Linked DNA regions of Macaca mulatta. Each later gene encodes a partner of the first gene's protein in a complex. Links are inferred from orthologs where the notes say so. Each region holds a gene or a part of one and is shown in the gene's direction. Other genes may lie near its edges. The genes, in order: IFFO1 and XRCC4.

Region 1 (4,285 bases):
TCTGTCAGAAAGACCCAAGCTTCCTCCAGGTGCCAGGATAGCAGTCAGCCAGCTGGAAAAGCCGAAGGGATCAGGGAGTCCAAGGTGACTGGGAAGCTAAAGCAACGATCGCCTAAATTACAGTCCTCCAAGAAAGTTGCCTTCCTCAAGCAGAATGCCTCTCCCAAGGGCACAGACACAGAAACACCGGCTGTGTTATCCCCATCCAAGACTCAGGCCACCCTGAAACCTAAGGACCATCATCACCCCCTTGGAAGGGCCAAGGGGGTTGAGAAGCAGCAGTTGCCAGAGCAGCCTTTCAAGAAAGCTGCCTTCCAGAAACAGAATGACACCCCCAAGGGGCCTCAGTCTCCGACTGTGTCTCCCATCAGTTCCAGCCGCCCCCCACCAGCAAAGAGGAAGAAATCTCAGTCCCGGGGGAATGGCCAGCTGCTCCTGTCTTAGATGGTTGAAAACTAGACTGGGGTGGCTCACTGCCATTGTCACCGGGTTGGAACTCTTGCCTCTATGAGGATGCCTTCTCCACTGTGCATACCCATGAAATTTAATACACATTTTACAACCTCTGGCCGCTGAGTATTTTTGAGGGAACTGGGTACTGCCTTTGCTGCTTTAAGGGTAGAGGTGGGAAGGTGGGACTGGGATCTTCTGAGGAGAGGGAATGGTTGGGTGCTACTGAGAAATCAGGTCAGTTTTAGGCTCCTGCAGCCTTGAGTCTTCCCAGGAAGGGAGAGCCCTGGAGTCAGAGCTAGGGGTGATTGAACTCTGGGGAGAGGAGGGCAATAGAAGTGTAGGGGAAGGCCGGACATGCTGGCTCACGCCTGTAATCCCAGCACTTTGGGAGGCCAAGGTGGGTGGATCACCTGCGGTCAGGAGTTCGAGACCAGCCTGGCTAACATGGTGAAACCTCGTCTCCACTAAAAATACAAAAAATTAGCCGGGCATGGTGGCGGGCACCTGTAATCCTAACTACTCGGGAGACTGCGGCAGGAGAATCGCTTGAACCTGGGAGGCTGAGGTTGCAGTGAGCCGAAATCACGCTACTGCACTCCAGTTTGAGCGACAGTGAGACTCGGTCTCAGAAAAAAAGTAGCGTAGGGGAGATGGGCTTGCCACCAGAACCCATGGGGTACTGGAGGGCCTGGGCTTTACGCCACCCCAGCTGAATTCCAGGCGGTGGGCCCCTCATCCCTGGGCTCGGCTTCAGATCCGGAAAGGTCCAGGGTCCGGCCTCCAATTGGAGCCTGTCATTGGCTTCCCCCTCGGCCCGCCCCCTGACCTCTGCCCTGCCGCCGAGCCTCCTGATTGGTCGACCCTGTCCCGCCGGCGCCGCATTGGCTCTTCTCGCTCGCCCTCCATCCCTGCTCTTGCACTGGTTTGCATCTCCCAGCAGAAGGCGCAGCCATGAATCCGTTATTCGGCCCCAACCTCTTCCTCCTACAGCAGGAGCAGCAGGGCCTGGCCGGGCCGCTGGGGGACTCACTGGGAGGCGACCACTTCGCCGGGGGAGGAGACTTACCCCCGGCGCCTCTCTCGCCGGCCGGCCCTGCTGCCTACTCGCCCCCCGGGCCGGGCCCGGCCCCGCCTGCCGCCATGGCCCTCCGCAATGACCTGGGCTCCAACATCAACGTGCTCAAGACCCTGAACCTCCGGTTCCGCTGCTTCCTGGCCAAGGTGCATGAGCTGGAGCGCCGGAACCGGCTGTTGGAGAAGCAGCTGCAGCAAGCGCTGGAGGAGGGTAAGCAGGGCCGGCGGGGCCTGGGTCGTCGCGACCAGGCCGTGCAGACCGGCTTCGTCAGCCCCATCCGGCCCCTGGGGCTGCCGCTGGGCGCCCGGCCGGCCGCTGTCTGCAGCCCGTCGGCGCGGGTGCTGGGCTCGCCCGCGCGCTCTCCGGCCGGCCCCCTCGCGCCCTCCGCGGCCAGCCTCTCGTCGTCTTCCACCTCCACCTCCACCGCCTACTCCTCGTCTGCCCGCTTCATGCCCGGCACCATCTGGTCGTTCTCGCACGCCCGCCGGCTCGGGCCGGGACTGGAGCCCACTCTGGTGCAAGGGCCTGGCTTGTCGTGGGTGCACCCGGATGGGGTGGGCGTCCAAATCGACACCATCACGCCCGAGATCCGCGCGCTCTACAACGTGCTGGCCAAAGTGAAGCGGGAGCGGGACGAGTACAAGCGGAGGTAGGGATTGGGAAGAGGGGACAGGGCTCTCTGTGTCATGCCCCTCACAACGGGCCGGGAGTCGGTGTGGGTTCCGAAGAATCAGGGGTGAAAAGAATGAGAGGAAAGTTTGTGCTGTATAATGAGGAGCTTGGAAGGAATTGGACGCAGGGAGACTAGAATCTGCAGAGAATGCAGAAGCCCCACTCGTGACAGGAAGAAGGACGCTGGGAGCGGAACACTGGGGAATTCCTACTTTTCCGGCTTGTCTCTGCATCCAGGCTTAACTGCGGGCTTTGTGGGTGTGAAAGGGACTGGGTCTGAGCCCTACCGGTCTCAGCCCTGGGGCAGTTTAGGGATATAAACTTGAAAAGTAGGAGGCAAGGATATAGCGTCAATTTGGGAGAGTAAATTGAGTGAAATTGGAAGGGGGTGGTAAGGAAGGGGCTGTACCTTGCAACGGGTGATTCTTTCACAGCCCAAGGTTTCTCAAAGAATACTGATGGAAACCAGGTACCTGCTGTGGTTTCATAGGAAAAGCTCCGGGACCTCATTGCTTGAGTAGGTCAACAAAGTGGGAAAAGAAAGAGTGAAGGGAATTCCCTAGGGTGAGGGTGGAGAGCAGGGCTGATGGGGGAATCTCTTGGCAGTATAAAACGCCAGCGGTGGAGGGAGAGTGGAGAGCCAGCAGGGGACTGAGCGGGGAGAAGCTGGGATATGGACACTCCCTAGGACTGCGAGACCGCGGGGCGGGCCCAGTGCATTCTGTGGATGAAGATTTGGCTGTCTGAGAGGAGCCCGGTCCCAAGGGGCAAGGGGAAGGGATGTGATGCCAGGAGTGCTGGCTGTATACCAAGTGGATTCCTTAGATGGCTGATAACCAAGTCGATAGGACAGGAGAACAGAGGTAGCGTCTTGCAGACTCCAACCCATGCCTTGAGGAGGAAGGCGGTGACAGTCAGAGAAGACTTTGGTTTGGCGGTCTCCCCTCTCATCTCAGCTATTATGACCCCTTGTGGGCGGGCCTGGGAACTACCTATGCAGCCCAGTGTAGCCGAGATTCAGCGCTGGGTGAGGATTGGCCGAATGTTCTAGGAAATGACCACTGGGTGTGGGGGCGACCTTCAGGGATCTCCACCCTGCTGGAGTTTACCAGATCAGAGATCAGCAGGCTTTCTGAGCTTGAGTCCTGTCCTTGTGCTGGCTTCCTTAGTTGTGGTCCATGTTACATGTCCTTGGGAGTTTCAGTTGTCCTGAAGTCATTCTGGCACCCGAACCAGCCTGCTCTGCCCGTGCAGGAGCGAGCTAACACACTCAGCAGTGGAACAGGCACAGTTCTGGAATACATCCATAACCACAGGAACAATTGCTGTTCTCAGGAGCTTTTTCTTTTCTTTTTTTTTTTTTTTAAACTGAAGGAGCGTTTGTCCTTGGTCCAGCTGTCCAGGGCAGGAAAGAGTTATTCCTTGGGGACTGATTAGCTCATAGCTCTGCAGCACACTGCTGTGTAGAAGGCCGTAGCTAGACTTGGATGGTACGTGATACTGGCAGTGACTCTTCTTCCACCCCAGATCCCTTGCCCTCATTCTGGTCTCTTTATAGCAACACTGTAACTCCTGTTTTCTGCCTGGAAGGCCTGGGATGGCTTGAGCACTAAACTGGGAGGTAGCTGAAGGCCTCCTGGGTTCTATTTTCAGCTCCCCTGCCTTGCGTGTGACCTTTTTTTGAGCCCCCATTTTTCCAACCTAGGATTGGTCCCTGCTTTCTCTCTTCAACCCAGGGATAGAGTTTTTTCTAAGAGTGGTGTTTGGTTCATGCAGAATGCATGGAAATCGCTCTCAGATTCTGCCCATGTTAAGGGAACCTTGTAAGTGAGACCAGATGGAAATGGAGGTGAAAATGAACCTGTTTGTGTGAAATCTGGCTAAAGAACAATAGAATTGTAGTGGACTTCCAGGTGATTCATTTTTAGATTTTTTACCCTGTAAGATTTCCTTAAGCTTAACCTTTAGCTAACCGCCTTCCTTAAGTTTCTTCCAGGTTTTGTTGAGCTCACTGTCAGATAGCCCCTCCTGCCCTCCCTCACACATCTTGTCCAGAGTTAGCATGCCCTTGACAGGTTTACTGTC
Region 2 (3,813 bases), on another chromosome or scaffold:
ATAAAAATAGAACAATCCCTGGGAGGCCGAGACGGGTGGATCATGAGGTCAGGAGATCGAGACCATCCTGGCTAACACGGTGAAACCCCGTCTCTACTAAAAAATACAAAAAACTAGCTGGGCGAGGTGGCGGACGCCTGTAGTCCCAGTTACTCAGGAGGCTGAGGCAGGAGAATAGCGTGAACCTGGAAGGCGGAGCATGCAGTGAGCTGAGATCTGGCCACTGCACTCCAGCCTGGGCGACAGAGCGAGACTCCATCTCAAAAAAAAAAAAAAAAAAAAAAAATAGAACAATCCCTAAGGACTATGAGTGAATAAAAGTCTCAAGAAAAATCAGAACCCTAAACCTGTGTTATGTGTGTATGCAAGGTTTAAAATGGAACACTTTGCCTCAAGTGTAAAAATCAAGGTGAGAAATTAACTTTCAAAACTAGTCTCGAACTGATGAAACTTGTAATGACCCCCAGAAAGGCAAACCAGCAACCTTCATTTAAGAACACTTCTTCCCAGAACACTTGCCACTTTGGCTAGAGGCAAGCCGTACTCAAACGTTACAAAGCATGAAAGGAAAACAAGTAAAACAAGAATTTTTCCACAGATAGAAGAAACATAATTTATACTCCAGGAGCCACACATAAATACAGAAATGAAAGATATCTTAAAATACGTTTATTTAAATATTTAAAAGAAGGGTAGGGTAGAACAGGATATAATGGCAAAGGAACAAAGATAATACCTAGAACTGAAAATATGATTACTGAAACAAAAATCTCAATGATAGATAAAACATCAGCTTTAAAAATACCTAGATAAGAGAATTGGAAGCCAGATCTCTAGTATAGTATGTGTTGCAGAGGAGATGCTCAGTACATTTTAGTTTCCTTCCCATTCTTTCCTTATTTTCCTTTCATCCATATTTTCTGTTGTTGGCACATGATATGAGAATAATGAGCTCCACTTTTGCTTTTGTTTTACCCTGCTCATATGAGTGAGAAATACACTGTAGACTATTGAATCTTTGATGCAAGGAAGGAAGATGTTATAAAATATTGAGCTTATTATTCATTATAGGAAATTATCTGGCTTTGACCTAAGAGCAGGTACACAAAGTGGAATTTTCTGTAATAACTTACAATGTGTTTCATCTGAGGACAGAGAAAGAATGTCAAGGGTTTAATGTATTTCACATGAGTTGTGAGTCTAAATTAATGCATTTCTTAAAAATTGCTAGTTCAATAAATAGGAATAACTTGATTTAAAAATGTGTAGTATAGGGATTGATTTTACTTGTTTAAATTTCTGTTACACGTGATAAATTAGTACTAACAGATAAACTAATATTTTCTCATGTGTAGTCGTTTACTTTTCATTTTAAAACTTTTGTTAATATTTCCCATAGTTTCTGAATCAGAGATTTCCCAAGAAGCTGATGACATGGCAATGGAAAAAGGGAAATATGTTGATGAACTGAGAAAAGCATTGGTGTCAGGAGCAGGACCAGCTGATGTATACACATTTAATTTTTCTAAAGAGTCTTGTTATTTCTTCTTTGAGAAAAACCTGAAAGATGTTTCAGTAAGTAAAACTTTCCAAAATGTTACATAGTAAAATGTCAGAGCACTTATTGAGGGATTATATTTAAATTTAAGTAACTACTATATTATTCCCAGAACACCTCAGAAGCAAAAGCTTGAAAAGTACTTAGTTTCCGAATTGGAAGAGACTTCAAAGCTAAAGTCATTAAATATATTAATGAATCACGAAAAATAATTATTGGAAAATATATTTAGTTTTTAATGCTTGAAAAATTTTAAAGTATTACAGAGTTAATTATAATCTTGAAAAAGGTGGGATCAGAAGTTTTAGCCATTGTGACAGGTCTTATTGAAATAAGTTTTGTGAAATATTGATTTTAAGAAATAATATATCTTTGAATATCAAATAATTATGACTTATTTTCTACTTTATTAGAGTGTATTTGAAATTTAAAAATACATAGTCAGGATTAAGGATACTTTATTTATATTGTCAGATTTAAAAATATTAAAATAGAAATAATTTGCAGCCTAAGCTTTGCAGACAAGAGTATCTGCTACTTATTCTGCTCAGTTCCTGCACCAATTCAGATCAAGGCAGGTGGTTTATTTATTAAAGTCTTGCACTAATTATTTGTATATTTTACCTAAGTTGAATAGATATTGAATTTGTTTTTTTAGCTGGTGGTTTTTAGTCATATGTGAGAGCTATCATTTCTAAAGGAGAGGGAAGGAAATGTTTGCTACGTTAAGTTAACAAATAGCTATTGAGAATTTGTTTTAGAGCTCAACTTAGTTTAGAAAATTATTTTAAAACAACCTTTTAAATTCAGAATAATTAAAGAGATTTCTTTCATTAGAGAAACATTTGAAGAAACAAATGGAATCATTATAAATATATATTATCATGTAGGGAATAATACAGAGAAACTAGCCTTAGTAATTTATATTTAAAATAAACATTTTCTAATTAGCTGTCAAATTATGTAAGTTTCAATATGCTGTGTTTCTTAAAATGGTAATTTAAAATAGGTACAGTAAGAAGGTTGGAACTAGCTACTACAATTTTGTTATTTATCGTAAGTGTTCTTTCCTATGGCCCAAGCTCAATCAGATGATATTATATATTACAGAAGTGCAGACTCTTCGAATATTTTGAAGCAGATCATTGCCAAATTGGGATCAATGCCATTTCCCATTCACTAAACATTTGCATGTAACAACTAGCATTATTTTGTGCAGCCATTTTCTAGTTTTTATCTGTTTCATACATATTGATACATAATTCCAAATTAGTGAGGTACATTTTGGAAGGCTGAAAGGCTTTTGATATTTTTGACATGGTAAAAGATGGGGCTTGGTACAGTTGGCATTTATATTAATCTGTTCTCACACTGCTAATAAAGACATAACCGAGGCTGGGCAATTTATAAAGGAAAGAAGTTTAAATGATTCACAGTTCCACGTGGCTGGAGAGGCCTCACAATCATGGCAGAAAGAGAAGGAGGAACAAAGTTATGTCTTATATGGTGGCAGGCAAGAGAGCATGTACAGGTGAACTCCCCTTTATAAAACCTTTAGATCTCATGAGACTTACTCACTTTCATGAGAACAGCATGGGAAAAACCCACCCCCATGATTTGATTACCTCCCACCATGTTTCTCTTACAACATGTGGGAATTATGGGAGCTACAATTCAAGATGAGATTTAGGCCGGGCGTGGTGGCTCATGCCTGTAATCCCAGCTCTTTGGGTGGCCAAGGTGGGTGGGTGACCTGAGGTTGGGAGTTCCAGACCAGCCTGACCAACATGCAGAAACCATGTCTCTACTAAAAATACAAAATTAGCCGGGCATGGTGGCACATGCCTGTAATTCCAGCTACTTGGGAGGCTGAGGCAGGAAAATGGCTTGAACCCAGAAGGTGGAGGTTACAGTGAGCTGAGATCACGCCATTGCACTCCAGCCTGGGCGACAAGTGCGAAACTGTCTCAAAACAAACAAACAAATAAGAAAACCAAAAAAAACAAGATGAGATTTGGGTGGGGACACAGACAAACCATATCAGCCTAGATGGAGTACTTGCCATGGCTGGCAATACATCAGGTTTTACTCCTTCTATGAAGAAAGAGCTTTAAGTCCTCTTGATTCATGTCTTCTACAGTTGGTTTGGCATCTATCAGCATCAAAGACTCATAATAATCCTGAAAGATTTTTGCTTGCCACCCTGAAAGTAAACAACTTTATCAGAGCCAGCATCTTGAACTACAGGTACTACC

Evidence for each region.
Region 2: the proteins of IFFO1 (region 1) and XRCC4 are in contact, whole or in part, in a crystal structure (PDB 6ABO), measured with the Homo sapiens proteins. The link is inferred for Macaca mulatta from reciprocal best matches to the Homo sapiens genes IFFO1 and XRCC4. Residues at the interface, in NP_001317253.1 of Homo sapiens: Arg469, Glu470, Tyr473, Ile477, Gln479, Ile480, Glu481, Glu483, Leu484, Ala487, Lys488, Asp490, Met491, Arg493, His494, Leu495, Tyr498, Met501, Lys505, Leu508, Asp509, Met512, Cys515, Arg516, Leu518, Ile519, Thr520, Gln521; in NP_001304941.1 of Homo sapiens: Trp155, Val158, Gln159, Phe162, Glu163, Cys165, Val166, Lys169, Glu170, Glu173, Leu176, Tyr177, Phe180, Val183, Leu184, Lys187, Lys188, Lys190, Ile191, Leu194, His195, Lys197, Leu198, Ala201, Ala202, Arg205, Glu212.

Annotation. Positions count from the first base shown.
Region 1 is NC_133416.1:7,504,253-7,508,537, reverse strand, and holds the start of IFFO1 (non-homologous end joining factor IFFO1), read left to right. Parts: upstream 1-1,369; 5' UTR 1,370-1,404; coding exon 1,405-2,177; intron 2,178-4,285. Other genes in the region: NOP2 (28S rRNA (cytosine(4447)-C(5))-methyltransferase), read left to right, coding at 1-444. UniProt on the Homo sapiens protein: Nuclear matrix protein involved in the immobilization of broken DNA ends and the suppression of chromosome translocation during DNA double-strand breaks (DSBs).
Region 2 is NC_133411.1:89,410,976-89,414,788, forward strand, and holds part of XRCC4 (DNA repair protein XRCC4), read left to right. Parts: intron 1-1,399; coding exon 1,400-1,575; intron 1,576-3,813.